4 linked regions of the Drosophila melanogaster genome follow. The protein of the gene in region 2 interacts with the protein of the main gene of each other region in a pairwise test. Each region holds a gene or a part of one and is shown on either strand. Other genes may lie near its edges. The genes, in order: Ravus, AP-1mu, CG13965 and CG8507.

Evidence for each region.
Region 1: the proteins of AP-1mu (region 2) and Ravus interact in a two-hybrid assay, tested with the Drosophila melanogaster proteins (one large-scale study listed by BioGRID).
Region 3: the proteins of AP-1mu (region 2) and CG13965 interact in a two-hybrid assay, tested with the Drosophila melanogaster proteins (one large-scale study listed by BioGRID).
Region 4: the proteins of AP-1mu (region 2) and CG8507 interact in a two-hybrid assay, tested with the Drosophila melanogaster proteins (one large-scale study listed by BioGRID).

Annotation. Positions count from the first base shown.
Region 1 is NT_033777.3:13,260,866-13,268,402, forward strand, and holds Ravus (ravus), read right to left. Parts: upstream 3,197-7,537; 5' UTR 3,134-3,196; coding exon 3,102-3,133; intron 3,042-3,101; coding exon 1,994-3,041; 3' UTR 1,868-1,993; downstream 1-1,867. Other genes in the region: CG11686 (uncharacterized protein), read left to right, coding at 777-905, 1,173-1,256; Su(var)3-7 (suppressor of variegation 3-7), read left to right, coding at 3,651-4,435, 4,870-5,454, 5,523-5,867, 5,923-6,900, 6,968-7,537.
Region 2 is NT_033777.3:9,553,328-9,561,130, reverse strand, and holds AP-1mu (adaptor protein complex 1, mu subunit), read left to right. Parts: upstream 1-1,605; 5' UTR 1,606-1,881; coding exon 1,882-2,703; intron 2,704-2,762; coding exon 2,763-3,221; 3' UTR 3,222-3,419; downstream 3,420-7,803. Other genes in the region: MBD-like (Methyl-CpG binding domain protein-like), read right to left, coding at 1-208, 518-859, 1,100-1,290; BckdhA (branched chain keto acid dehydrogenase E1 subunit alpha), read right to left, coding at 3,695-4,244, 4,361-4,526, 4,593-5,127, 5,188-5,256; CG9386 (uncharacterized protein), read left to right, coding at 5,742-6,006, 6,068-7,368; RnpS1 (RNA-binding protein S1), read right to left, coding at 7,480-7,803.
Region 3 is NT_033779.5:19,959,875-19,966,753, forward strand, and holds CG13965 (uncharacterized protein), read right to left. Parts: upstream 2,479-6,879; 5' UTR 2,425-2,478; coding exon 2,401-2,424; intron 2,341-2,400; coding exon 1,963-2,340; 3' UTR 1,884-1,962; downstream 1-1,883. Other genes in the region: COX4 (cytochrome c oxidase subunit 4), read left to right, coding at 1-13; CG34051 (uncharacterized protein), read right to left, coding at 290-476, 531-719, 785-907, 980-1,152; CG42866 (uncharacterized protein), read right to left, coding at 1,565-1,705, 1,765-1,788; CG16772 (uncharacterized protein), read left to right, coding at 2,851-2,880, 2,952-3,857; CG10680 (uncharacterized protein), read left to right, coding at 4,357-4,407, 4,465-4,491, 4,552-4,707, 4,770-4,901, 4,966-5,136, 5,189-5,407; OS9 (Olfactory-specific 9), read right to left, coding at 5,944-6,486, 6,546-6,602.
Region 4 is NT_033777.3:9,787,060-9,794,930, reverse strand, and holds CG8507 (uncharacterized protein), read right to left. Parts: upstream 3,449-7,871; 5' UTR 3,362-3,448; coding exon 3,140-3,361; intron 3,086-3,139; coding exon 2,870-3,085; intron 2,808-2,869; coding exon 2,597-2,807; intron 2,536-2,596; coding exon 2,174-2,535; intron 2,119-2,173; coding exon 1,990-2,118; 3' UTR 1,833-1,989; downstream 1-1,832. Other genes in the region: CG8516 (uncharacterized protein), read right to left, coding at 122-262, 317-745, 811-941, 1,010-1,150, 1,337-1,479; CG12945 (uncharacterized protein), read left to right, coding at 3,841-4,092, 4,160-4,405, 4,471-4,611, 4,666-4,793, 4,847-4,977, 5,050-5,501.

The sequences.
Region 1 (7,537 bases), 3.7 Mb from region 2:
TCAGTCTCAAAACCGAGCCAAATCGGTCGTTAGTATGTTTGTCACGACCCAAAAGTGAAATCTAAATGCAGAAGAAAGCCATTCAAATGCATTTTTCGGTGGTAAAACCTGAGTGTATGCATATTTTAATAATATTTTCTAAAAAGTGAAAAAGTATTTTTAGGAGAAAGCCGAATATTTAATCATTTTATAGTGAAGGAAGATATTAACTAAAATTCAAACTTCAGTAATCTTCAAAGGCCTAACTCAAGGTCTACTTATATAATATATAATTTGAAATTGCATATGACTAAAAACTATTTATAAATGAGTGTGGTATGCAAACACAAATGGGGTTTACTGAAGGATTTACTTGCTCGAATAACTTGACATTCACTATCTTAAATGGGAACGTTGATACAGCGATGGAAAAAATGATTTAGAAATAGAAGTGACGTTTTAGAAGCTCTTTTAATTAGGTGGGGTTTATCAGAATCGTGTTCTATCGAAATGCAAGATTTAATTTGTTAGCTCATTAAAAATATTATGAGGTCACTTTTTTAAGGCGCATATCAAATTAATGACATGTGTTTTGCTTATTAAAAATATACGAAATGCAGAAATTAGTTTTATGCTCGAGCAAGCTCCAAGTCTTGAAGTTTTTAATGAGATATGCTCTATTAAGAAGACGACTGATAAGCTTCAGTTTTTTATGGATCTTTCCACTAATAAGATCCCTTGTATTTATCTTATCGCACAGCTGAAATCGCTCTGAACAAACAACACCACTCATCACGATGCCAAATCCACTGTGGTTCGTCTTCTGGCTGCTGGTCTTCTGGTTCGTCTCCTTCTTCGTGGCATTCTTCTGCGCCTTTTTCTACATCTGGGTCTACGCATTTGCCTCCTGCATTCCCGCCCTGACGGTAAGTGGGTTTTTTTTCTATTTTGGGGAGCAGCATTTGAAGTTATATGGCGGGGTGAGTCAATTTACCTGCTTCACCTGCTGGTTGCATGAGGCACTTTCCTTATCGCGCCGTCAAGATGTTTAACCCATTAGTCATTTGGGGAACTTATCAGACCCACAACCGGAGCTTATGGGAAACCGCGATAGCTGGCCCCGATATGTAGACCCACCCACACCCATTGCCTGGAAAAACATTGCTAACCGATTTGTTTTCTTACTTTCGCAGGGCATATCGGACATTCTGCTCCAGGGAGTCCAGTTCCCGTTCTACTGCGGGAAAGCCATGTTAGAGGGCAAGCAAGCTTTTTAAGGGGGATATTTCCCCAATATCAATTAACTAAGTGCCTTACTGATAACTCTTGTTTTCAATCATTTTTTACAATTTTACAAATAAAGATTTATTAACTTATATTTATAATTACTGGCATTTTTTCAATTGATTGATTCTGATTGATTCAATCTGATATTACATGTTGTTTGTTCGTTACAGTTGATAAATTCGCCTGATGGAGTGATTTTTACTATCTTTACCTACAGAACATACATTAAACTATCATGCGATAAACTTTTTATCACATGGTATTGTACATGCGTAATATTTACCCTTCAGAGAATTCGCTTTGTATCATTCACAATAAGTAAATCACAATTGTTACCCACACACAAGAAGTGGTTTCCATTGATTACAGCTCTTCCGTGATATCATTCTCTGAGAAAATTCACAATTTATACTTTGCTGGCAAACCAAGGTCAGGAAAACACTTTTTGAAATGCAGTTAGTGAAATATTAAAGCGAACCTAATACCTTAATGAGCCCATTTATTGGGCACTTAAATTTCTAAACGGATGAAATGTAATGAAGCCATTTCATAGAACAAAAACACCATCAGATAGATTTAAAGAATAAATGCACGCCACACTACAACAACTAATAAATAACTTTATTAATGAAAATCAGTTAACAAAATTAAAAAATGAAAGCACTAGCATATATTCTAATTGCCGTATTGAGCACGGTTTGGAACCGATTCCAAAGTCCAGGTGAATTTATTTGGTGGTAGAAGCCACTGTCGCATTCTGCTGACCACTGCCTGAGGCTTCAGCTGCTCCAGACCTGGAGTTTCCCGCGAGATCCGGAAGTCCGGCGACCTCAGAGAGCGCCTCCTGTTCGCAAAGAGCACGCAACTCGAGCTCCCCAATGAGCTGCATTACCCGGATCTTACCCTCGGTGGCCAGTTTGGGCGGCAAGTTCTTGACGGTGGCACATATGCTGTCGAAGAACAGCTCCAATGAGTCGCGCGGTGGCGTTATAGGTGACAATGGTTGCAGTTGATAAGATTGCAGCGGGCGGGCAGCATAGGAGGGCGTCGTGTGTATAGGCGTTATGGTGGCCTTGGAATTGATCTCCTGAGCTTGGCACATCCCACTGAGTGGAGTACTGTGCACTGGAACTTTTTTAATGGTGATCCTGCATGGCGGAGCTACTGTTGCTGTTGCTGAGGATGTGGGATAGGCGGAGACAGTGGTCGGAAGACTTTGAGGCCCCTCGTTGATGGTCACGTGTAGTGGCAGATAATCCAGCATGCCAGAATTCTGTGAGTCGGTCTCCGAAGTGCGGCGCTGCTGCTTAATGACGGGCTCCGTTTCGAGATCATTTTGTGCTTCCAGTTCTTGAGTCCGCTTCTCATCGTCCTCGCAGTCGCCCTCTGTTTCGTCAAGTTCTCCCTCCTCCTCATCTTCTGTCTCGTCGTCTTGGGGATCTGTTCCGTATTGTAGTAGACCCTCCTCGTCCTCGGTATCCTCCCACTTCATCGCACCGGAGCTGGATCCATTGAAGCTCGAATTGTTTGCCTTGGCTGGCAATGATTTTCTTTGTGCATTTTCCGAGTGCTTAATGCTACCCTCGTGCTTTCCCAGATCAGATCTCTTGCAGCTGAGCCTGCACTCGCACACCGCGCAGAACACGAAGTGCGGATCCGTCTCATCCGGGAGCAACCACGGATATATCGCCTGGTACTCCGGCTTTGTCTTGGGTCGAGGATATTTCAGCAGGGCGCACGGCCGGCGTGGCCTGTATTCGGAGCGTAGGGCATCTCTGGGCGGCGAATATAGTCAGTGAACATAAGACCCTGGTCTCTTACTTTGGTATACTCACAGTTTTTCCTGAGTTAACTGGAGGTTTGACATTTGGGTAGTCTTTTCCAAAATATAAACAAAATCCAGTGAGGTATGACCGTGCGCACATGCATAGAAATACCGCATAACCCGTTTTGCACATGCTGTAAGAGTTGTCACCCACACCGGTTGTTTGTTTCTACACACTTTATTTTAAATATTCAACGATATATGAATCATATGCTAATGCATGTAATTTCTTTATATGCTTTCTAAGCATAATGTTCATGTAGTTATTAAATAAATAATTGCAGTTATACTATGAACAGTACGTTTTAAGACCGTTCTCAATAAAGTGACCAGTCCAGTCCCTCAGTTGCATTTTATGTATTTTTTGAACTTCCTTAGTATATGGTCCTTAGCCCGCCGGTTTAATGCAACAGTACGGTCACATTGGCCATCGCCTTGACAGCGATTCTGAGTTTTCGCTTGCGATTATTTTTATTTTTTTAGTTTATAACCGTATACTGTGATCTCCCAAAAGCTAACAAATATTAGAGCAAAGTGCCTGGATAACCAGTATCTCGTGATGGATCGGGATTCGAGCATGCAGGCGAAAAACCTAGATGCTCAATGCAACCCAGACCTCAAAATGGCGTCTGCAAATTCAGAAACTTTAGCGTCGGCAACGCACGAGCTGAAAATTATGGACGTAGAGGGTGGTGCTCTGGTGGATCCGGATCACATCGAGGAAGTGGAGACCTCCATGGTCATCGTGGTGGATGATGACGATGGGGATGTGGCCATGGTGGTGGAGGAGGACAAGCACCCGATGCGGGATGACCCGTGTATTGAGGACATCATGGATGACGAACATGCTCCATTGGTGGCCGAGCTACAGTCCGCTCTAAATAACCCAGACGACAAACAGGCCAGCGAGGATCCCCTCCTGGAAGACCAGGAACGTGAACCCGATGCCATGTCCACTAAAACTGAACCCTCCAGCGATGCGGAGAGCTCCCATTCGTACCACGATCCCATGGGCCTGCTGGAGAGGATTGAAATCCATGATCCGGGAGACAGCCAGGATGACGACGACGAGGATGACGAAAGCAGCAATGGCGGTGGCGTTGACGGAGGCATGCGCCGCAAGATGCCCCGCGCACAGCGCTGGCTCCTCTGGATGAAGCGTTGGCCCTGGATCCTACACGAGGACTCCGATGGCACCTTAGCGTTCTGCCTTTACTGCAACATATCCATTAACGTGAACAACCGCTCTAGACACATCCAACAGCACAACGTGTCGCTCTCCCACCAGGAACGCGAGTGCAACTATCTGGCATTCAAGAAAAGTGAGGAGGAAACTCGAGGAGCGTAAGTGTCACAGTTTTAAAGATTACAAAAAAGAGTACAGAAATCTAAAATTCGGAGAAATCAAGTTAATTAATCCGCCGTATAAAGTAAAAGCTCAACTCTTCAAATGCCTTTCACTTTGTAAAGGGTTTGTACCGAAATCCAGAAAGCCCACTGTAGTGTGAAAAAAACTGCCAACTTAATGAAGGGAGCACTGCTCCGAGTCCGCATTAATTTTCCAACGTGTAGCAATTGTTTGACACAAAGAAACTGGTGTATGATAGGCTTGGTCGCGGTTCAGAATAGATTTTACATATATTACACTCCCTGCTTTCAATGAGGGTAGCTCTACTCGTAATGTTAGTAAGATTTGCACCTTTAAAAAACGAAATACCGAAATCATATTGAGATCACCGAAAGTTTGCGAACACTTATTAACTCCCAATTATCCGTAGAATCAGCGACAACGAAATCAAGCACGAATTCGGCACCAAGAGCTATGTGGCCGCCATGAAGCAAAAACGAATCTCCGAGACCGAGGCATTTAACAACTTCAACTGGCTGCGTTGGCTCCGTTGGCATCCTTGGCTTGAACGTTCCATGCCCACAGGGACCATCGGGACATGTCGCATCTGCAGCGTGCGAATGAACGTGGAGTTTGTCTATTTGCGCAAGCGCCACGAAACCACCAAAGGTCACATGGAGGCACTGCGCAACCTAGATTCCGATAAGCGGAGTCGGAAGCGAAAGAGGAGCAAGAGCAACAGCGTGACCAATAGCGGCGGGGATGAGGCCGAGCGAGAGAAGGAATCTGAACCAGAAGTTGGGCCGGAGGATGCTCAGGACACCCCTGTGGTTATGATGAACGGCGATGTGGACTCAGGCGACGACCCTGGCAAGTGGTGTGCACTGATTCCGGACACCAATCCACAGCAATGCCGATGTACGCTCTGCAACTGCACAATGGCGATTACCAGCTTCCTACGGCACTGTAAAACCAGAGCTCATTGTCACATGCTATCGACACCCGCTGAAAAGGGGTGAGTTGACACTCCTACAGAACGTAAATAGCACCTGTTCTTTAACTGCTTTCACTTTTTTACCTCAGCTCTTCAGATATTCGCGGCATTTGGGCCGTGTTCGCCGACATGCATCCTTGGTTGATTGCTGATCCCGAAGACCCCAGCATTGGGTACTGCAGCGTCTGTCGCAAGCGATTCATGTATGGAAACTCAGAGATCAAGCGCAAGAATCACGAAAAATCCGAGAAGCATACCTTGGCTTTGGCCAGCGCCAAGGCAGGCATCGAAGTTGGTTCGGCTGACGGCAGAGGCGGCGATAACATGGATGAAGAGGAAGCGGCGGCAAGTGATCAAGCCCAGTCATCGCAGACCGATGACAGCGAAGATAATGACGATGACAATTGGTCCGAGATCCAAAAACTCGGAAAAGGGTATGTTGCTTAAAATATTTTTAATTTTTACTTTAATAATAATAATTTCGTATAGTTTTGCTCATAAGTCCTCTAGCGAGCCAAGAAAGGCCACGGTTCGCGCTGGGGTACGTTTTTACCCGTGGCTTTGCTACTCCAAGGACCGAAAGACTCAGATTTGCAAATTCTGCCGCGTGCGCTTTCACAACGAAGCGGCAAAGGCGCGGCATGAGTTGAGTGCCCGGCATGTAAAGCTGGTAAAGCAGTTCAAAATGCGGCAAGCGAAACTGCACCAGGGCACAAACACGCAAACTAAACATAATGCGCAGGATGATGAAGAATCACAGGAACAGGACGAGGAATATGGAGAAGAAGAGGAGGACGCAGAAGAAGATTCCCAAAGCAACTTCGACTTGGGCACCGTGCAGGCAAGAAAGACTGCTCGAGCGGACAATAAGCTTTTTGTCAAGCCCATTCCGGCAACCATGAAGGGCAAGGTTATGGTGTGGAAGGGCCGCTTCCCGTGGCTCTCCTACAAAAAGAACGAGCAGCGTGGAAACTATGCTTGGTGCAAGCTGTGCGAAGTGTCTCTCTACCTGCCCTCATCCAAGTGGGCCTCCAAGCACCAGAGGACTTCCCGACACATACGCCTCCGCATTGATCGAAAGCGCAATGGTGGCAACCCTTTGAAAACATCGAACAAAAACTCAGGTGAAATATCCACTGTTGTGGCCACAGCTTCGGCTTTGGCCAGCGCCGAGGCTAGACAGAAAGCGGCTATGGCAGAGCTGCAAGCGAAGTACGACTGGCTGGATCCTGATGCCAATGACGAGAATCACTGTCACTGCCGTGTTTGTGATAGCCGGCTGCCGATCAAGGTATTTTACCTGCGGCAACACGACGCTTCGCGTAAGCACGTCGAAAATAAGGAGCGGCAAAGGGCCAATGCCGCCGCTGCCGCCAATGCACCATCAGTTAGTCCCACTTCCACCGTTGATGCGGAAAGGCAGGAGTCTGGAATGGACAAGGAGAGCGAAAACGATATGAGCGTTCGGTGAGTTTAGAATTCGAAATCCCTTCATTAAGCGTTTCTAATAACCACACTCATTATGGCTACTTAGATCCGATGGCAGCACAGCGGAACCGCTGGCGAAGCGGTCCCGACGCTCAATGGAGGTTCGTCGCATAATACGCGCCCTTCGCGACTCAATGGGCAAGCGACAGGAAGAACGCTCCCAAATGGACATGGCCAGGGACATGATATGCTCGTCGTTTGATATTGTTACACGCTTGCGAACTTTGGAACGGGAGTCGGTCGCACATAACGAGTCTATGGCCCAGGCGCCGCCATCGGTGACAGTGTCACCGATTAAGCCACCGGAGCCACGACATGTAATGGATCTCTTCTTTGACAGCATTTCGCCGACCATGAAGTCCCTGCCGCCGGATTTAGCCGCAGAGGGCAAGTCGAAAATCATGCAGCTCGTTTGTAGCTTGGAGCTTCGAGCCATGCAGAGAAATGCGACAACTCCAACCCCAGCTACAGTTTCTGCTTCCTCGAAATGGCCTTCTTCAACTACGGTGACCCCAGTTAAAACTCCTCCTGCTCCTATTTCAGCTCCCCTTGCTTCTGTCGATGCAGATTTGCATTCCTCGGTTGTCACAACACCGCATGAATACAATAATGGGCA
Region 2 (7,803 bases):
CTCGCCACTGTCGTGGCAGGCGCGTAGTCGTTCCAGTCGCTTCTCCCAGAACAGCTGTTTCGGCTTCTCCCGAGTGCCATGCTTGGGTTCATTCTTCGCTTTGGCGGGATCCTGTTTATGGTTGCGAATCACCGTCACCGGTTGCTTGAAGATCGAGGCAGTCTGTCGAATGGGAGGCACCAGGGAGACATCAGTGCGCAGGGCTCGGCTGTAAGGGATTAAAGATTGGAAATGTATTAGAGAAACGCCTTCAAAAAGCTAAAACACCGAACAGCACATTAGACAAAGCGTAAAGTAAAGCTTTAGCATGCAGAGATGGTGGAACATAAATCTCAGGTGGCACAGAGCTACAGCGTTTTTGAAGACAACTACGAATTGTTTTGCCAATTGTGTGTTTCTTTGGGTATTTTTTCATTTGATGCTTTTTAATTGCCGCAGGCTGTAGACCTTGCGTCCTGGCAAACAAGACATGACACGCTGACATGCAAGAGTCAAGTGCTCATCCACTTGGCTCTACCTGAGTTCGATCTGTTGCTGCTGGCGATTGGCCGTTGATGGTGAAGCAGATGCTGCTGTCGCTGTTGCTGCTGACGAGGCGGTCGCTGCCGGAGGAGCAGCTCCTGCTGCTCCTGCAGCATTGCCTCCTTGACTCCGGGCGAACTTGCGCTTGAGGGCATTGGCCGCCGATCCGCTGGTGGCCCCATTACCGCCCCCGCTTGCTATAGGCAGCGGCATGGCGCTGCAGCGGTACAGCGAAATGGAGGGCGAGGGCAGGGCGCAGTGCGGCATTTTGCCAGGCTGGAAATCAGGGATTGCAATGTCCTGTGGCTTTCCCTCCGCCCTTTTTCCTGTGGGACTGCTGAACAGACACGGCGGTGGATGGATATTTTTGGTGGGTTAGGTGGTAGTTCGTGTGCGTGTGTATACATAGGCGTATGCGTGTGTGTGGTGTATATGGTGTGTGTGTGTGTGGTTATGCGGATGTAATAACAGAAAGGTAGTGAAAGTGATTATAAACGTTTATCCGATTAAACAGCGTGCAGTGTTCCGATTTTAGGTATATAGTAGTCTATATAGTAATTCTGCTCTTCTTCTTTACCTGTAGTAGAAAACATCCACCTTGTTATTGTTGTTGTTGCTGCTGGCTGTGGCACTGCTGTTGTTGTTGCTGCTGGCGTTGTTATTGGCGCTGCTGCCGGACTTTCGGACCTCGTCGCGCTGCCATCCCTTTGGCAGGACACTGCAGTCGACGCGTTTGCGCTCGATTGTGACGCTCGGGTTCATTTGCATGCTCGCCGAAATAAATAATTAACAATTCCACAAAAGCAGCGTCTGGGCTAGCAGTGTGGCCGTACTGCGGATGGCCACAAATGCCGGATGGCACAATAGTGATGCTAGATTACATTCTCCAATATATTTATGATTTGAATTTAAAGGTACCAATGGGAAAATGAAAATAATTTAAAAGGTATTTATTTAAAAACAGAAACCTTAAGATGTTACACCTTGCACATTTTTCATTTCCTTTAAGCTTAATTCGCTAGTTAATCAGCAGTAGACCAATCTCACCTGGCCACACTGCCCAACACCTGATGTGAACATTTCACAGCACTGGTGGGCCAACTAATAAGAAAAAGAAGCAGCAGAAAAGGCGACGTAAGAAATTCCGGAGTTTTCATTCGCATTTTCCAGTCTACGAAACGGAATATGTAAATCCAGCCCATTGATAGACCTAGCCCACTCATCGCCACCTCGCGACAGTTGCCAACTTCCACGCGCAACGCCTGCCGCGAGCAGTAGAACCATCGAAGCGACCTCCCACTCGATCCAATTGGGAATTTTACACCTGGGACAAGTGGCAGCTGCTGGGAACCAAGAGACATGTCTTCGTCGGCCATTTTCGTTCTGGACGTGAAGGGCAAGGTGCTGATATCGCGGAACTACCGCGGTGACAACATCGACATGGCCGTGATCGACAAATTCATGCCATTGCTGATGGAGCGCGAGGAGGAGGGCCTAATCACTCCGATCCTTCAGACGGCGGAGACTACATTTGCCTACATCAAAACGAACAATCTTTATATCGTATCCACGACGCCGCGCAATAAGAACGTTAATATCGCTCTGGTCTTCGTCTTTCTGCACAAGATCGCGCAGGTCTTTGTGGAATACTTCAAGGAGCTGGAGGAGGAGTCCATTCGGGACAATTTCGTGATCATCTACGAGCTGCTGGATGAATTGCTCGACTTTGGCTACCCGCAGACCACCGACTCGAAAATTCTACAGGAATACATTACGCAGGAGGGTCATAAGCTGGAGCTACAGCCCCGCATCCCGGTGGCCGTGACCAATGCAGTATCCTGGCGGTCCGAGGGCATTAAGTATCGCAAGAACGAGGTGTTCCTGGACGTTATCGAGTCGGTGAATCTTCTCGCAAACGCCAATGGCAATGTGCTGCGCAGCGAGATCGTGGGCGCCATTAAGATGCGCGTCTACTTGTCGGGAATGCCAGAGCTGCGACTGGGTCTCAACGACAAGGTTCTGTTCGAGAGCACGGGCCGCGGCAAGTCAAAGTCCGTAGAGCTGGAGGACGTCAAGTTCCACCAGTGCGTGCGGTTGTCACGCTTCGAGAATGACCGGACAATCTCGTTCATTCCTCCGGACGGCGAGTTCGAACTGATGTCCTATCGTCTGAACACGCATGTGAGTATTTTTATGTACTTAGCACCAAAATGCAAGACTAACTAAACCCCTGTTGACAGGTCAAACCCCTGATTTGGATCGAATCAGTGATCGAGCGGCATGCCCACTCCCGTGTGGAGTACATGATTAAGGCGAAGTCTCAGTTCAAGCGAAGATCGACGGCCAACAACGTGGAAATCGTCATACCAGTGCCCGCCGACGCGGACTCACCCAAGTTCAAGACCACCATTGGAAGCTGCAAGTACGCACCGGAGCAGAACGCAATCATCTGGACGATCAAATCGTTCCCGGGTGGCAAGGAGTATCTAATGCGGGCACATTTCGGTCTGCCGAGCGTGGAAAGCGAGGACAATACGGAGGGCAAGCCGCCAATTCAGGTGCGCTTCGAGATTCCCTACTTTACCACGTCGGGCATCCAGGTGCGCTATCTGAAGATCATCGAGAAGAGCGGCTATCAGGCGCTGCCATGGGTGCGGTACATCACGCAGAACGGCGACTATCAGCTACGCACCAATTGAAAGGGGCAACTCCCGTTCCTGCATCATTCCAGCCAAGCTTCAGCGAGTCATCCTGCAACAGGTAGCTTCATCTCCACCCGCGTTTTTGTCTGCGATGCGTTGCGTTAAGTCAAAAGTATATATTTGTATTCGTATTGTTTCAGTATATGTATATTGTATGTAAATCAAATTTAATAAATTTTAACACCTTTTCATAACACCTGCACCAGAGTGGGTCACTTTGTATGTGCAAATTAAGACCTAGGATGCAACCAAGTTTATCCTCTTCGTTGGTCAGAGAAAACCCAAAAACCCAAAGTGTCTAATTTCACATATCCACCGACCCACCTGTACAGATGAGTCATAACAAACGGGTTGAACCCACAAAAAACTGTTTGCCTATTGCTTAATCATAATAAATGCACTTTCGATCGAGTCTCTCGGTTCGTTTTGATTTCTGATTTGTTAGCATCTTTATGGCACCTATCTGGAATCTATTTCTCAAAGTCCTTCAAGGGATAGTGCTCCTTGTGGGCCTCGATATGTTTTTCCAGCTCGCTACGCTGCTCAATCAAATGATCCGGCATCTCCGCGTAGACGCCTTCGAACATCTCACGCCAGTTGGGCTTGAGTTTCTTCTCGGACACTGCGATCTGCTTCAAAACCTTTTTCCTTATGTCCTTGACATATTCGTTTTCGACAGTCTCGTCAAACCAGCCTTTGTGCACCATGTAGCGCTTAAGCTTGGATATTGGGTGCTCCACCGAGTTCCAAATCTCGATCTCCTCCGCTGGTCGGTAGGCTGTACTATCATCTGAGGTGGAATGGTGACCCACTCGATAGGCCAGTGCCTCGAACACCACCGGCTTGTTCTCCTTGAGGACATACTCCCTGGCAGCCTTCATCGCATTATAGACGGCGAAGACGTCTGTGCCATCCACTCGAATGGTAGTAATTCCATAGCCCATAGGTCCGCGACCGGCGATTCCATCGCCCTTGTACTGTTCATGCGATGGTGTGGATATGGCAAAGCCGTTGTTTCGACTGTGGAGAAAGGTACGTCATGAAGAAACTTATTTGAATGGTATTTTTGATAAGATAAGAAATACATCCAAAATAGGTTATCTTATCAAAATAATATGTATCTTAAAGTTACTCACCAGAAGAGGATAGCCGGACAACCCAAAGTGGCAGCAAAGTTAAAGGCAGCATGTGCATCTCCCTCGGAAGCAGCTCCCTCACCAAAGTAACAGACCACACAGGCATCGTTGTTTGGCCTCAATTTCATGGCGTAGGCGGCACCAACGGCCTGGGGCATTTGGGTGGCTGCCATACAACAGAGAAACTGGATAAGCATTCTCTCATCAAATAAATAAGACTATATTAACTCACAAAGCGGACTGGAGATGGTGACAAAGTTAAGTTCCCTTGAGCCGTAGTGGACGGGCATCTGCTTGCCGCGACCCAAGTCGTCCGTGTTGCCGTAGCACTGATCGATAAACTGGTCGATACGGAAGCCACGCCAAACCAGAACACCCGCTTCACGATACTGCCCGTAGATGAGATCCCGCATCTCCAAGGCGGCGGCACTGCCAATGTGTGAAGCCTCCTCGCCGAAATTGGTCATGTAGAATGAGATTCTGCCCTGTCGCTGGGATTCGTACAGGATTTTGTCCATGGTGTTCAGCAGCACCATATCGCGAAACATTTTCTCCACAACCTCACGGCCCAGCTGGGGATCCTGGGTCTCATCCGCTATATAGCCATCCTGGTCCATCACCCGGTAAATTGGTATTGGCGCATAGTCTTCCGGTTGAATGAGGTTCAATTTGCTGACAAATGGAGCCTTGGCACCGGGGAAATTGGCGTAATCTTCCGATGGCTTTGAGCTGAAGTCCCGCGCAGCTGTCGAGATCGCTCCTTCAATCTGTCATGGGTAAAACCAAACAAATAACAACATACCCCTCTGATCACTCCAAGTACTGACCACTTTCAGGTGTCGTTGGCGCCTCGCCACAGAACCCAATAGGTGCACCGATTTTCGCAGGAATGACATGGTATATAATTTGTGTCTAATCTATTAAATGCAACAGGTAATTTTGAAGATTCAGCTGCGTGTTTCCCAGCTGATTACGCAACACAATACCATATCGATAAGTCTCAATCAATCGATGTTTAAGTGATTGGCTATCGAGATCTCCAAAAAAAATTTCTAATGGATTTTATTAAATTATTATTATTTTCATTTCCATTTTAATTGATTTATCCCGATGTTGAGGCTACATTTTCATATTGAAGGTTATACTACTGTATGTATTTACAATATAGTTTTCTTTATCTGATACATTTTTCTCATTAATAACTTAAAATAAACCCCAAGAATTAATATCCGTTTAATAATAACGATGGCTAACGCAGGATAATATGTTAGCAAGGGTTCGTTTTAAATACGCGCCAAACAAATATCGATAGACGCAGCTACCCATCGTGCGTATACTTAATATTTTCGTTTTCCTTGAGCCACCTTTCGCTTTCGACACCATGGCAGCAGTAGAAGAAGCACAATTCTGGCAAGCGATTGGAATACTGATCAAAAACTATCATGCTTTGAATAAAAAGATATTCGAGGTAGTCATTACCCAAGTGACAAAGCAGCAGAATGGGCGAGTGTGTGAATCCAGTGCGGAGGAGTTGGCGATGTCTCTAAAAGAGGATCCAAGCCAGCGCACGTGCACAGGATTTACGATCGGATTCAAACTGCTGTCCAAGAAACTGGCGGAAAACATCCTAGGCACCGGAATTGTGGGTGAGGATAATCACAATATTACTTACTTCTTAGACAATTCTTATTATATTCCTAATTACAGATTTTGAGAATTGTCTCTATGAGTGCCAATTTGCCAGCGATAGCATTGAAGGCTTTTCCGTGGGCCTCCTTGGAGGAGAGTTTAAACTGAAGTCCAAATCGAACACCAACTGGTTGGAATTTGTGCTCAGACCAAAGCTCTTAAGCTGGTCTCAGTCCAAGCAGGATGAAGCAAAGGTGAAGTCACTAGGTTTGGTTAATGTGGAAAAGTACAATGATCTGTACAAGGAGTTGAAACAGAGGCATTCACAACGCCTGCTGGAACACTGGAAGACCGCACAGGAGTCCACGGATCCGCTCAAGTTCATTTACGAGGATTTGGCTATCGCTGCTTATCTTATAGTTTTGTGGAGTCAAACACAATCGGAGCCCACTGCCTTCGCTGATTTGGGTTGTGGAAACGGTCTGTTAGTTCATGTCCTCAACGCCGAGGGCTACAAAGGGTATGGCTACGATATAAGAAAGCGAAAGCTATGGTCCCTCTATCCACCGGATACCCAAAGGAGCCTCATTGAAAAGGCCGTGGAGCCCAACAGCTTCCGCTTGGATTTTCCGGGTGTGGATTGGTTGATTGGTAACCATTCGGACGAGTTGTCTCCTTGGCTACCGGTTTTGGCTGGTCGTTTGAACATTAACTATTTCCTACTGCCCTGCTGTCCCTTTGAACTGTCGGGAGCCAAGTTTCGCAGGCGGAATACGAAGATAAGTGCCTACCAGGATTTCTTTCAATACGTCACTCAGGTCTCTCATGAATGTGGCTATGAGATCCTACAAGACCGTCTAAAAATACCAAGCACCAAGCGATTGGCTCTGCTGGGAATTAAGAGAAAAGCCTCAAAGGCTATTGAAGATCTGGAGTACTTTGTCCAAGAAGAGCTAAGAAAGTATAAGACCGGAGATGCCAAAATTAAGCTGCGCGAGAAGGAGGAGAGCGTTCGAAATTGCACGCAGGTGGATAAGACCATAATTGATGGTCTAGTGTTTAAGATCTTCAAACTGATTCTGGACTCTAACGAAGATAAATGGTCTGGTCGTCTGCCCATGAGAGAGATTGCCCAGGCTCTCACCAAGGAGGAGCTGAGTGGCATTAAATCCGAGTGCGGCGGCATCAAAACATTGCTGCGCAATAAACACGAAGTTTTCGAATTCTGCGGTGGTGATCTCATAGGAATAAGAACCCCTAAACCAACGGCTACTCTCCCCAAATCCCATTTGACCATCAAGAAACGTAGCTGCTTTTTCAAGCTTCATCATCCGCTGGGATGTCCTCTCGATGATGCTGAGTGCTCGTTTATACACTAAGCTAACTCTCTATGTGTGTGGTATTTGCTCACCTTTATTATTTGGATTATAATATAAAGAAAAGTGCAATAATCGTGTCAATTGTAGAAACTAGGAGTCGATCAGTGTCCTCTAACGAGAGCTGTCACTGCTATTGCTGCGGCGTCGACGACGAATGGGGGAGCGGGAGCGACGCCGTGGTGAACGCCGGTTCCTCATGGGTGACTGACGACGTCCGCCGCCGCCGCCACCACCTCCTCCACGATTGTTGAACCTATTGAACTGGGGTGGGGATCGCCAGCGGTTGTTTTGCGGACGGCGCATCGGTGGCGAAGGACGACGCATGGGCGGCCTCTGTTTTACTAAGACAACCGGGGATACCGTAATCTCCTGGCCATCTATCTGCCCGCCATCCATATGCTTCATGGCCGACTCACAATCCTCGGGTGTGGCATA
Region 3 (6,879 bases), on a different chromosome or scaffold from region 2:
GTGGAAGAACTAAGTGCGCTGTCGTTAAATAATTCCGCGATTGTGTGTGATTAAGTTAGCCGACGTCTATGTGTATTAAGTAAAAGCAAGATAGTCGAAATTAAAGTTATGGCTGCTGCCTAAATCAATCGATCTTGGGTCAGTCATCAGTTTCTGCTAGGAAACCAGCCTCAATGATCCGTTTTAAGAGCAATGATTGTTATTCGATTTATTAACAGACCTTTTAGTGTGTAGATTACAAACTTTTCGTTACTAAAATCGCCACAGGCATAGCCAATTTAATTACCACTTAGTGAGACCTTTTAGCACTCTTATGTCTCATGTTCCGGCTGTTCGATTTTTGAACCTCATGAACAAGGATCTGCAAGGCTTCCAAGGCATTTGTGTTCTTGGCAAATTCCCTTTCAAACATGCGGCCGAATCTTAAGATCAATGGTTTCAGTTCCGGCGTTATCATTGCTTTCTCTTTTTCGGTCCTAAAAAGGCGGATTTCAAAGGCATTGCCAGACATATAGGCGAACACTACTTACACAGCTCCCTTTTTTATCACCTCTTTCAGGATCTGGACAACCGTTTGAATGTCCCCAAATAATCTGTACTTGTCTTTGGTAGAAATTTCACCGTCAAAGAATAACTTCAGTTCGTTGTCAGTTATATTCTTCTTTCGACCCCATTCCTCCAGCTCTGCCGTCTCTTTTTGGTAGGCGCTCCGAGCTCTGCTGAAAAGAAGTCAGGCATTCCTTGATCTCAGAGCATTCATACTTGATGCAGATGATGCACCTACCTCCAGTTCGAAATATCCCTAGCTGTCTGCTTCATCTTTTTTAAATGTCCTGATCTGTGTTTGAAAGTCTTCTCTTCTTTCTCCTTTGCAACTGTCGCCTTTGGTTCGGCATCTCGGTTAAAGCTATTGAAAGCGAAAGGTTGGTGCCATTCGAAAGTGTATATATCCTTCAGCTCGATCGAATCTGTATCTTACTGTTTGTGCCAATCGTATCCATCGTATGGAGGCCTGTGCAGATTGTGTGCTCGGAGATGACGCTGTCTTTCCATCTGGGTGTGGTTCTGGTTACCTCTGCTGTCCACCTGGAGGAAGAGCAACAGCAGGCAATGGAGGATGAGGATCGCAGCGGGATAGAGCCTTGGTCCCATGGCTGTAGTTTGTGGAGTGACAAATTACTTATACGTTAAATCACAATTAAGTGGGCTGAGATGTATTATGGAACCAATCGATTTCCCATTAGTCACTTATCTCAAAATAGAAAAAAAAACAACATATTTTTAAAAGGGGGTTACTCATTCTAAAGAAAGGGTCAATTTATATTTATAAAATCCATTTCTCCTCATTTGAAATGTATATCGCTTGGATAGCAACAATTAATGCGATTCAATTTATTATTTACACATTCGAACAGTGGAAATGTTCAATTAAGCAGTGATCCATTGATATGATGAACAAGGCTTCCGCTTCCCATTGTCTGGCGAGATCCGAGGCATTATGGCCCTGTGAACGACTTTGCAACGGGCCATAAGTAATCGCGTGCAATCCCAACCTTGTCGGACATCAGATGGAGTTACGTTGTTTATGGTGGTGCCTCACACGTGCTGGCCAGTTTTTCCAGCGCTTTTCCTTCTCGATGTTGTGGTATCCATCGTGGCCCACGACATGTCTGGGCACTACTAGCTCCAGGGACAAAAAGAGGCACTGATGTGAAAATATAATATATACGATAAAAATGTTACTATTTCTTTATCTCTACTTACCAAGCAGAAAAAAATCAACCGCATTGGGAAACAATAGACTGGCGACTAATTCAATTCGTCATCTGTGAAGTTCTTGGTAAAACCACATAGGGTGTTCCCGAATTTCGACGGAATATATTAAAATTATTTAGTTTTTTATTCAATAATCTTCAGAGATTGGTCACAAAACGAAAGGGTATAATGGGATATACATATGAGCTAGGGACGTGGCGTGGTAAAGGCATCGTTCCAGCTTGCCCAATGCTTCTCCGTCTTCAGGCTGTGGAAGCCATCATGTGCTCTAACGTGTCGAGGTCCCTTTATATGGCTTCCTGGCTTCACAAATGGATCTCCTCCATTTTCAGGGTCAGGCGAGCCGTTCGGGTCTGGGTTGTCCGTGCTATTAACCATATCGGTGCTATTTGTTGGTGATTCTGTGACCTCCGACCCCGCTTCTGTGGTCTGAGTTAATTCTCCGATGGAACTGGCTTCTGTAACTGGAGACGTTTCGCCATCTGTTGGGGACGCTGGAGATGATTCAGCCGCAGGGGTTTCCTGAGCCTCGAGCGCGGCTACCAAGAATATAGCGATTCCAATCTAGAACAAAGAAACGTTCGATTATGTGCAATAATGAGGGAATGCCCCATTGGCACTCACCAGCTTCAGTTCAAGTTTCGCCATGCCTATCGTCACACCTGACACATAGTATGTGTACCTATACTGCGTCGAAACCAGAAGCGCCGACTGGGCAAAGCCACCTTTTATAGTCGCTGCGCAGGTGGAATCGATTGGAGCAGTTCTAAATTGATTGCGGGAATCGCTGCCTGGTTCTGCGGGCAGAACTAATTCTCTTAGTGACCAACTGATAGATGGCGATCTTTAATTTGCGAACGCAGTCCGGGAAATTCCGGCAGACGCATCCAACACCTGATGCCAATCGGGTTTTTCGAGAGAGATAGAGAGCTGATTGCTCTGGGGCTGTCTGTAATTGTTGGCTTACCGATTTCCATAATGGTGGGCGATTCTGGAGCTATATAAGTCAGCTATGGCCGGCAGAGAACAATCAGTTTTCGCTTGGCCCTTGCTAGTTGAACTCAGTCGGTTGGGATGTTCATCAAGTTGCTTCTAATTAGCCAGGTTGGTGCCAGATCTTGGCCAGGACAAAATGGCTCGAACTATGATTAACTTAACATACATTTTAATTCTAGCTGCTGGCGCTGAGTTACGCTCAGTTGTCGCTCGACGAGGCTAAAAAGCAAATCGATGCCTCGCTTTACAGCGAAGAGGAGACTACCGATGATACGCATCTGCCGGAGCCCCACCTGCCCCCCCAATATCAGCCTCATCATCCCCACAAGAAGGTGACCACCACCACTCCCGAGCCGGAAACCACAACTCCAAAGCCAGAAACCACCACGAAGCCCGCAATAGAGCAGGAGGGTGAGGCCACCGCTGCTCCCGATGACGGACTGGGTCAACTGGATGATGGCTTGCAACAAAACAATGATGGATCTGCGCTTCCAGAGTCCACCACTCCGGAACCGGAAACCACGACCCCTACGACGACCACCACCACAACGCCAAAGCCCCATAAGCATGAGCCCCACTTTCATCCCCATTCTTATCCGCATCCTCACCCCTATCCCTACCCCATTCAGTATCCCTACCCCCATCCAGGAGTGATATTCTCTGCCGCGGGACCTAAGCTTACTCCTCCATCGACCACACCGCCCACTGCCAAAGATGCGGACAAGGAATCGCCGGAGCTGTCTGGATATCCCTCCTATCCGACCTTCAGATCACCGTACTCGCCCTACCAACCCCAGGTGTTCCCTCAGCCTCGTAACTGGCCCAGCTTCCCAGGATACGGACCTCCCAGTCCCGGTTTCGGATACCCCCACAACCACAATCACGATCACGAAGAAGACTCCGGCGAAGATAAGCCCAAGGACAAGTCTGGTGAAAAGGATAAGGACGAGGATGTGGCTCTGAAGCCACCAGGATTTAGCTACCCGCAGGTCTATTTGATTCCCCGAAGACCAGTGATCTCTGTGCCCAGCTTTCCGCGTCCAGGAGGCGGATATGGTTCGCCCTACGGCTACGGACTCTACTAACACTCTCCGATAAATACTGTGAAAAATCTCCGAGTCCAGATAGTCAATAATATCTTAGTTTTATTTCAATCTTGAAATGTACTTCCTAACACAATAAACAACTTTTAGATTATATTTTCATGAGTTTTTAATATTTGCATATAATATTTAATGCTTTCGATCGTGTAAATCTGAGTACAAGGTTCTTCACTGAATGTGGGACTGCTTGGAGTTTTCTTTCGGTGCATTAAGAACTAGTAAGTAAGTTAAAGGCTCCTAGATTCGGGAAAATGATAATTGATGATTTGCGCATATGAGATTGAGTTATGGGCTTCTGATTTCCCTATCGTGTAATCCCCAGGCTGATAACCCCGGGCCCCGACGCTCTCACCTTGGTGATTTCCAGTCGAACGGGTTGGGATCGTGGTTGCATTTAATTGCAGCGCATTCCACCCAGTCAACTCATAGTTCTGTCGATCGTCGGAAGTTCGAGACGTGAGTGTCAGTCGAGATCTGCGAGATGTTGCCGCTCCAATTCGTTTTGCTGGGCTGTCTGTTCATCGCTCAGGGGGTAACTATTCATCGGTTTGTTCCACAATTTAGGCTTCAATGAGTTCTATATTTTCAGATATGCCACACTCTGCCGGATCCCAAGGTAAGTTTGCTAGCAAACAATTTAGATAGTATCTTCTTTGCAATATTCCATAATCCACAGCTAAGGGTGCCTCGTGAAACTATCAACATTCCCACGCATCTCTTCAAGCCAGTGAGTCCGAAATCGAGCAACAAACCTATTTCTAATAGATCATCCTTAAATGGCGGAAACAGCTCTGCCCTGGCCGAAGCAAATAACGATGTCGAGTTTCTAGAGGTGAGTCTCATCCAATACACTTAATATAAATGGAAATAAATATATATTTATTATCCTTGAAGAGATCTAGCGGTGAAGTGGAGGAGGTGACCGACACCTACGAAGAGGAGGACGTTCCACTCCGACCTATCCCCTTCCAACCTCGACCGTTTTATCCTCAGATCCCTCCCCGATCCAACGGTTTCCCCATTCGTGTAAGTGTTTTTATAAGTAGTTACACATAGTATTACAATCCGATTGACGATTGAACTATTTCAGCAACCCAACTATGACAATGCATTCCAAACCGATTACAATGTGGGTCCCAGAGGCAGCGGCTTCGACAACAGACCTTTTCCCAGTTCCCCGGATTTCCGTGGCAGAGGCATTCGACCAATTCCTGACTCCCCATTCCGCAATCAAAACTTAGGAACCTTTGTATCTCGACCGGTAATCTTGTGCAATCGTTTTCCTAACTAAAAAACTAATACACCTTCTCCAGGTACCTATGCCATCCAGTGGTTCCATTATCCCCCTTATCGCCGGTGGTTCCAGTATTCCGACTGGTAGAAGTGGTCCCCTTGGTTCCGGGGGCTCTTCTAACAACTTTTACCGGAGCGAATCCTATAGCTACACATCGGATGGAAGAGGACCTCCCCAAATCGAGCGGGATGTGTTCGACTCGCGGGATGGATTTGGATCATCTTATCGCAACTTTTAACACCTTTCCTAAGAGAAGCTGATGAATGAAAGTTCCGAGTTCTCAAAAACAACTAGTTAAGGCTGCTAGAGATTATACTGACTTGTCTGTGTGTAATGTAAAGATTCTTGGCATTACAAATAATCAGTTATTTTACTTTCCGCACGGTTTATTTATCAGACTAAATAACAATTGTATTGAATAGAAAGTCAGTAAAACTTTCAAAGCTATTGAAACCTGACAGCTTACAAATCTAAAAAAGGTATATTAAGGTATTCAATACCTTTGTAAAATGAATTCCACATTTCTTACGTCATACCTGCACTAAGTAGTAAACACTTACTAGCGTATTTATTATATGCTCATTGATTGTTAAATCAGCTGCAATATGTAATCAAATTTTAGCTTCCGGCGAGCGTGCTAATACAAAACATGAACTCTGGACTACTGGTTTTGATATTTGCAAGGCAGTTTCTGGAAATAATATATACGTTCGGACTATGTATCTGTAGTTATTTGGTTTAAACTTAAATGTACTTGAAACATGATATGTTTATTCAAATGAAATCAGAGTTGGTTAACTTGTCCAGCTTCTCATAGACATCCTTTTCGTTCTTAAAGTCATTAAACTGCTTGACCATCGCCGCGTTCCTGGCCAACCGACTGTCGGACCATGTGCTCATGTATTTCTCCACCTTCTGCTCTACGATTTTCAGAGTAGTTTCCAAGTTTCTTTCCAGGATCTGCTCCAGGTCCTCAACTCCGTGCTGTATGAATAGCTGAACGACAACCTCGTCAGCTTCCGATTCGAATTCTTTGCTGCCTGCAATCGAAATGATGCTTTCCAGTTCCTCAAGAGCATCCTCCAGTCTGTTCAGCTCGAATGAATCATCGAAGTCCAGGGTGTCCAAGGCCGCGACGAAGTCCTTAAGCTCCCTGAGAATGTGTCCCTTGGAGTTTGGTGGTAAAATGAGTTCGGCCTCGTCGATGACCAATTGAAAGACATGTCGTAGCTGTTCCATGGCGTCTGTTACCATTTGAAAGAGTTCATTGGACACTTCGAATTGTAACTGCCATTTGTTAATGAGAGGCGCTGCAAGCTGAAAGTTAAAGGTTTCTGTTGATTCCAAAAGGATATAAGCAAATCTAAGGATCTTACCGAAAGCTGGAGGGCAGCTACAGCGACTAGAAAAGTCCAAGTTAGTCTGCTGGCCATGATTTGAAACTGTATCTAGTCTCTATCGAACTGATTCCTTTTATATTCCCTCTCTTAAATTCACAATTTTTATACAAAATGGGAGAACGCCTCCTCTGTAATGAATACCCACTGATCGTGAGACAACGTATAGACTGTAATCAGACTTCAGAAATCGGTGAGCGTGATAAGAACGAGTGCTGCCCCTTCGTATATTAATTAGTGGGTAGTGGAAACCATGCATTTTGTTATTACAAAGTCGTATATAGTTCCAAGTCACGATAATATCTTTATTGCT
Region 4 (7,871 bases), 230 kb from region 2:
TTAAATTACTAACTAAATGTATTACTAAATATATGTATTAAATTTTGTATATTATTAAACTCAAGATACGTATAACATTGAAATTGCCCTGGAGAGAAGTGGTGTTTCTCTTGTGACTCACCAGAATCATCGGACACAGTGGCGTAGTGAGAGTCATTAACATCACGCGATAATGTAGGGTTCCTGTTCGAGGGCTTCCCAGGTGGCTGTTGGGCCAAAATGTTGGCCAGCGGCTCCCTCACACTAATGCTTGTGTATCCCTCTGTGGAATAAAACATTTAGCGATTTGACATTATCTCCATTTTTACAGACTTACTCGACGAGTCTTGTGAGTCCCCGCTAAAATGTGGATTGGCGATGGGCGGCGTCATGTAGGGAAGATCTTGGCTAGCCGAAATCATGCCTGCAATCGCAGAGGCAGCTGGAATCTCAGCCTGCGCCGGCGCTGAATCATTGTGCTCTCTGGAGCCTTCGCTGTGCTGTGAACTGCGGTGCATTGGATCTATACCTTCGCTGGAGGATCCGGCCACCACCGCCGCCGCCGCAGCTGCTGCTGTAGAGCCGTGGTTGGCCGCATGAGACGTGGATGGGGCATTCAGCTGGGCATAGGGATGTTCGGTGCCCCGCACCTTGGCGTAGTCGTGCGGCAGACCCTTGACCCGAGAGTACGGCGAACTTACATCATCCGCCTGGCTAATAGAGCTGTGCTGCGACACGCTGGTCTGTTTCTTCATGCTTGGCTGTGCTGTGGGTGTTATTAAAATCGGTATTAAGTATGAGCTTATTTTATGGGTTTAAAATACAACTTACGACTTTGGCTACGGGCATTGCGACCATCTACCATTTGCTTGTCCGCCACAGTTTCATATAGTTCGGACCCATTATCATTGCTCTCGGCCACGGGAATGTCAGGCAAACTGCGATGGGCTGCAGTGCTCGACCTGGAAATTGGTTAAGGATGCGTTATTTCCAGCTCAGTTATGTAGACAGCAAAGAAATGGGGACTTACCGCTTTTCCGAGTCCGCATTGGACACCGTGGAGGCATTCAGCTCCGCCTGGGACTCGCTGTTGCCCACCAGATTGGTCACCACAATGACCTCATCCGGATTCTTCAGCTTGACCATGCCCTCCAGGCCCATCAAGTCATTTCTGTGGAGTTAGAGGGTATAGAGAGATTGGCGAGCGACATGAGTGCATCCAACTGGAACTGGGCGGCGTAGTGTTGGAGAAAGAGACCCACTTTCACTCTCTCTCTGGCCTGCACCGCCCTGTTCCCGCTAGAGCCATCGAAACGATGTGGATCCTCTGATCCTCTGGGTATTGGGGAGGACTTACTTAGGGATCCGCTTCTTGCAGCAGAGACAAGCGCCCAGCATAACGATGAAAGTGAGCGTCAGGCTGACGGTCGCCAGGAGGTACGTGTACGAATTTGGGGCCTCCAGGTGCAGTTCCGACGTCGACGCCTCCACCATGCCCATGTCGGTGTGTGTACATATGCACTATGTACCCATAAAGCGCTGGCACCGACCGCTGCACATATATATATTAACTTTTTAAACTTTTCGCTTAGCTAATATTTTCTTGTTTTTTGGCCCACCAAACGAAACGACAACAACAATAATGCGACTGGCATGCGGTCATACTAGGTGCGGTCCTACTGGGTGGAGGGAAATACGCGTTTTGTGCCTGCTATCATATGGTCACACTAATTTTATCGTTTTTTTTAACGGTTTATTCTTAACCCTATATTGTACTTTGAATATATTACAAATTTATTTTTTCCACATTGAATTTTTTAAAGGTCAAAATAGATTGTATATAGTTCAAAATTAAACTTGAGATTTTATTTATGTTCAAATGATATTTGGTATCAAAATTATATCTATGCTGAATAGCAGCAAGAATGAATATTTTTGTGCGTTACACAAACAGTTGCAATTAAATCTAATTTATTCGCTTGGCACTTTCAGTGTTTCACTTTCAAATTATTAAAGCTCGGTGTGCTTGAAGATGGTTTTTTCAATGTTCTCCTGGAGCTTCTCCACTTTGCGAGTTTGCTTCTTCAGCTGATCCTCCATTTCCTCAAAGCGGCTGCTTTTGTCCTTCACTTTTTCGCCCTATAAATAATTGTTAGTTGGCTTACAAACTTGATTGATATTAAGAAACATATACCTTGTATTTCTCCTTTTGCAAAGCATGCTCGGCATGCAAGTGACGCAGCTTTAATAGGCGACTTTCGAAGTGATGCAATTCGGTTTTAATGGACTCCAGTTCTTTAACCGTAAAATTGCTAGCCTGGGCCACTCGCCATAGACCCTGGACCTTGGGTTCAATGAAGTCCTGACTGTGTGGACCGGAGGACACCAGGCGTTCCAGCCTATCGTAGTGATCCTTGATGCCCGTGTGATGTCCTCGCAGAGTGTTAAGGTCGTTCTCGAAACTCTTCACGTTTTGCGCATGGGTTTTGATGTCGTTCTCATTGACATCATTCGAAATCAGATTGTAGGTGTCCAAGTCTTCCGTGTTAATAGCATCTAACGAGAATAATCAATGAAATTAATTGATGCTTTTCGTGCTGTTTTTAGCCAAACTCACTTTCATGCTTGTCGGTGTCTACGGTGCCAATGTTTTCCAGCAAGCTGTAGTACACATCCACTTTATCCTGGTGATGGTCAAACTCCTGTTTCAAGGATTTCAATTCCTCTGCAGTAAATCCGGAAATCTCGGCCTTCTCCCAAAGTCGGTTGAGTTTCTTGTCCTTGAAAAGACTCTTGTTTCTGTGTCGCTCCTCGGCGTCGTGGAATTTCTTAAAGTTAACTTGGATGTAGAGAAACTCTTGCTCTTAGGAAAGATGATTTAGATACGTACCTTGTAGGGCTTAAGCTTCTCCGTATCCTGAGTGTCGTCAAAATGCTCTAGCAGATCGTAGCTGCTCATGATGCCAATGAGCTTGCGGCGCAGTTCGTCGGCCTTCAGCCCGTCTTTGTCCTTGTGCTGCGAGTTGAGCTGCTTCCAAGCGATCTCCTCCTTATCGTGGATCTTGAGTTCCATGTACAGTGACTTGAGCTTGGGCTCTGTTAAGCGCTGTAACCGAGGTTAGTACGGTTAAATATGAGATATCTTATGGTGTCCACTTACATTCTGCGCCTTGGCCCACACGAGATTCAACTTGGCCATGCGAAATGGCCGCTGGATGCTCTTAAAATCCGGATCATACTTCTCCTGCTTTACTTGCTGAAAATGCGGGTCGTTGGCCTCCTTGCTGTACTTCTTGCTCTGCTTTTTGTCGGCATCCACGCCCTGCAGTGCAATAAGTACGGAAAGTGCGATGGCTGCAACAACGAGAGCTGACCTAACCATTTTCCTCGTGGTTTTTATTTCGGTTTTAAAGCTTGCAATTATTGGTGCAGTGCTGACCTGGCTAAACAGTTATTCACAACACGCAGTGTGGCCATCTAGCGATCGCATAAAGCTTTGGTGCTGACAGTCTAGCTTTTATTTTATTTTAATGCTTTGTTTTTCGCAGTTACGATTTTTGATCTTGGTCAATTTACAACAATTTGTTTGATTTATTTGATAAAGATGTTTAATAAAAATAATTCAATTTGCAGTAGAAGTGAAGAAAAATCATAAAAGCATGTTTGTCTAATAAATATAAAGCTACATTTTCCTGAAGTGATAAGTAGATATTGCAGCACTGACGTGACGCTGTGATGTTGCTAACTGGACTTGGTCACACTGCCAATTTGCATCAGCCGCCTTACCACGAAATTGCGCTGAATTATAATTATTATCGAGTGCTTACTACCTAGGAGTGATTACATTGAGAAACCAGGACAATGAGAACGGAGGCAGCGGTCAGTTGTTTCCTGTTGGTATTGCACAGGGTATGCTGTCAGAGCGGCAACGATGAGTCCTGGCTGAGTCCGGATCCCGCCTGGTCGGACCTGGTTAACGATATCAATCAGCCCGGTGAATTGTGCCAGTGTCCTACGTGTCCAGATGTGTCTCCAGTGGCCATGGAGGATGCCGTGGCACTCACATACTTCAAGAAGTTCGTCAATCTGCTGTTCCAGCGCAAGCGTTTTCAGGTATGATCGCTGTTTAGACCAAAGTTGGCGACATGACGTCATATGTGTGTAACTTTTGTGTAATTAGTACGATGTTATGTCGGCGGTCCATAAGCGATCGCTGCTCTTCTCCCTGATCCCATCGCAACTGGATGAACTGGAGAGGGTGCAGGATGCTCGGGATTTGGACGTTTTGCTGACTAAGATATTGGAGAGTGCCGAGGAGGCTCCTTTGTTTAATGGAAGATCCGGATGCTCATACGTCCGACACGGCTTTTTCTCCTTATTGGTGGATATTTTCAAGGATGTAATTGAACTGACGCAAACGACCGAGGTACCTGTTGCGCCTTTTTATGGAAACTTGACTATTTGCTATTTAATGGGTTTTCTCATTCCTAGGTGAAATTTATCCTATATGCAACATTAGCAATTGCACTTGTCGTCATTGTGCACAAACGTTTCCGTGTCGGACTAATTTCAATTGTACTAGGAGGCGTGTTTCTGTGCGGATATATTCAGACTTATTTAGAATGCAACAGAGTAGGTCTAGCCTGAAAGTGTGTGAAATTGTGCTCATTATATGTTTATAATTAGGAATTAGACATCGATAGGATGATAGAGGTCGTAAATCATCACCATGAGCCTGAATCGTCCTGGTTTGGTCGACTGTTAGGCTACATATACCAAGCCTCACCAAAAACTAAGAAGATAGAAATGATCAAGTAAGACCATAACATATAATTAAATAAGTCGATTGATGATCGTTTCCATTCAGAAAATCCGCAAAAATCAGCATTTCCATTTGCATGCCAGATCAAGTGTTCTTTATGTACATGAATAACATATTTATCAAGCAGTTGGAAATCATGATAGAAAAGGTGTCGGTAACTATGACTAAACTGTCCTGTAAGTATTTAACCAAGAATTCGCACAGTCAATAATTACCACTTACCACTTAATTACCATATTTACCCATAGCCGGATTATCCTTCCCGTATAACCTCCTTGCACCAGTCCTTTTGGTGTTTTTAGTGGGTTACACCATAAAGCTGTGCTTTAAATACATTTTAAGCCCCCGAGCATGGGCGTCACTTTTACACAAGCCAGCGCCACAAGGGACACCAACGATTCACCAGTCCATTAATGCACGGGCGCCCGAAGGCGACTCCATATCGGGCGACAACTTAAAGATGCTGCTAAATGTAATTAACGTGAGAAATGTTCCAAAGGAGTCGCTACAGCGAATTCCAGACGTTTCGGGCGTCCAAGAGCTAGAGGAAAAGCAGGAAGCTCCCACCACACCATCGAAAAAAGAAAATTTAGATGAAAGCGATTCCAGCAGCAAAAGCAAGAGCAAAAGCTGTGTAGCTGAAGATGAAGGATTCACGCTGGTCGACGATCACGAGGATAATAACATTGATAATGTGTAGCGGCCGCAAACAAACAATTTGTAATTTAAGTGTAATGTCCGAGATTTTTACCCAGTTTATTAGAGACCATTTATGGTCGGCAAATAATTCAATTTTTTCATTTTTTGATTTGTCATAGTTAAATTTTTATTTAAATTATTTTGCATGTACTTAATCTCATTTGCGCGATAAGTGTTATTAAGATAAATCTTCAACAATAAGATCTTTTAAGTAGGCCACGAAACTGTTTATATTTTGCTTGTTATTATTATGATGCCGGCCCTTCAAAAAATCGGATATAATTTTTATATGTAACTTGTTGATCATTTATATTTACAACTTGGCGCTCAGGCGATTATTAATAATAATATTATTAGCAGTGGGCGCTCATTTGTGAGTTGCGTATTAATTGAATGTAAGCGATAATTAAATATTCGGTTTTCGAATCTTGTAAAATCTAATTTAATATGTATACAACTAATATATTTATATATCTATGTATATAGATCTATATAGTGTGTGTATATACTTGTAAGAAAAAATTAGAAAAGAATTTCGGTGTAAATATATTTATTCGTTGTATTTTAAATCATGCACCTAAAATGTATTATGTTTTGATTACAATTCATTGTTATTATAATTCGTATGCAACTAAGTAACTTTACGCATTAGTGAAGTGTACTGTATGCAGAGAATGTTATCCAATATACGGCACATACTGAATAGTCAAAACCCAGTTTGCTGTTCACAATTAAACGTACCTAAACCTAGTAAAACACCAAGCAGAACCCAAAGCACAGGCAGGCTAACTAGAATTCTCAACTAAGGCTGGCATATCGTCGTAATCGTCCAGGTCTATGGCAAACCAAGATAATTTATCTAAATTGATTTCACAAATCTTATACGCAAATTGGTCCGCTATCATAATCTTGATTAATAATTTCTCTACTCGAATTCAACAATTTATTTTGTTTTTGTTAAGATCTAGTGGGTAATGTCCCCCCATCTGATTTGTGTTGGCGGCTGTTCTACTTTTATTTGTCCGGCACTGCTGGACGGCGGACCAGCAGCCAAAGTTACCAGTTTGATGAGCAACATCATAATTAATGTAATTACATGCCCCTCTATTTGGCTAATTGGTATAGCAGCGTTTAAAGCATATCATTCACTTAGTCCGATTGGTAAAATTTAAAAAAACTTATCCTCTTAATATCAAACAACAGCAAACTATGCGAAACAATTTGTTCAACTCCTACGCCTACGACTCTACGCACAAGCCAACTAACTATTTAAATAACGAATACCACAATTGGGAACGGTCTGTGTTATGTTATACGTACGTACGATACATCCATCCATACATACATATAGATAGATAGGTAGGTGTTTTAAAAACAGGCAACTTATATCCCATCTACGCTACTGCAAAAAGTGCACCATATGCTCTTCAAATATCCTTCGATGTACGCGTTACTTGGCTCACACGATGAATGCGAATGCAATTGTACTTAAACGTGATTCTGACTTAGGCTAACTCTCTGACTGATCGATCTGGCTACTACTGAGAAAGTTCAAGCTGCTCAATAAAGTTCAGCAAATAAGTGTAAAATTGTACATACATATTTAATATAATACAAAAAACACAATGCCATTGCGAATTTCTTCTTTCATCTGTTTTACGGACTGTGGGCTGTCGGTGTTGTTGGCCTTGAGTATTTTATACATTAGCTTATATGGCGATCGGGGCGAATCGTCCGAATCGGTATTATTCTGGTTAGGTGGTAAATAGTTAAACAGCAATGATAGTCAGGGGGAGGCATCGGCCATTTTCGGCCAATTGCGGCCACTTCCGTTTCCGGTTGCCTCGCGATGCTCTCTATGTGGCGATCACGGAGAAGTCTTACGTTGATGGATCCATGTAAATATTTTGTTATCATATCGTAGTAGATACAGATTCTATGTCTTTAAGTAGGTACTTTGGCTTTCATTAGAGATATTAGTGTATAGCTTCGTTCGATTTCGTTTCGATATCTGGTTATGGAATGGCTGATGGATCATGCAGTATGTATGTAAGTATGTAAACATTTGATATGTATGCCGTTACGTTTCAGATGCGATTATGTGCAAACTTAGGGTTAGTTTCCGTGGTGTGTTTGGATTAGTATATATGTATATATGTATGCAGTACGTGGTATCGTGTCTCTGTGCGACTAGAAAGATCTGATCGGCTCGAATAGAATATATAACCTATGCAAAATATACTCGTAATCGTAATTGCAATCGTGGTGCGACTTATCCAGTCAGTTCCTAAATACAAGTGTCTCGTTATGCATGTAACTCTATATGTGGATAAAGTGGGGATTGTGTGTGGTATGTGGTATGGTGTAAGTG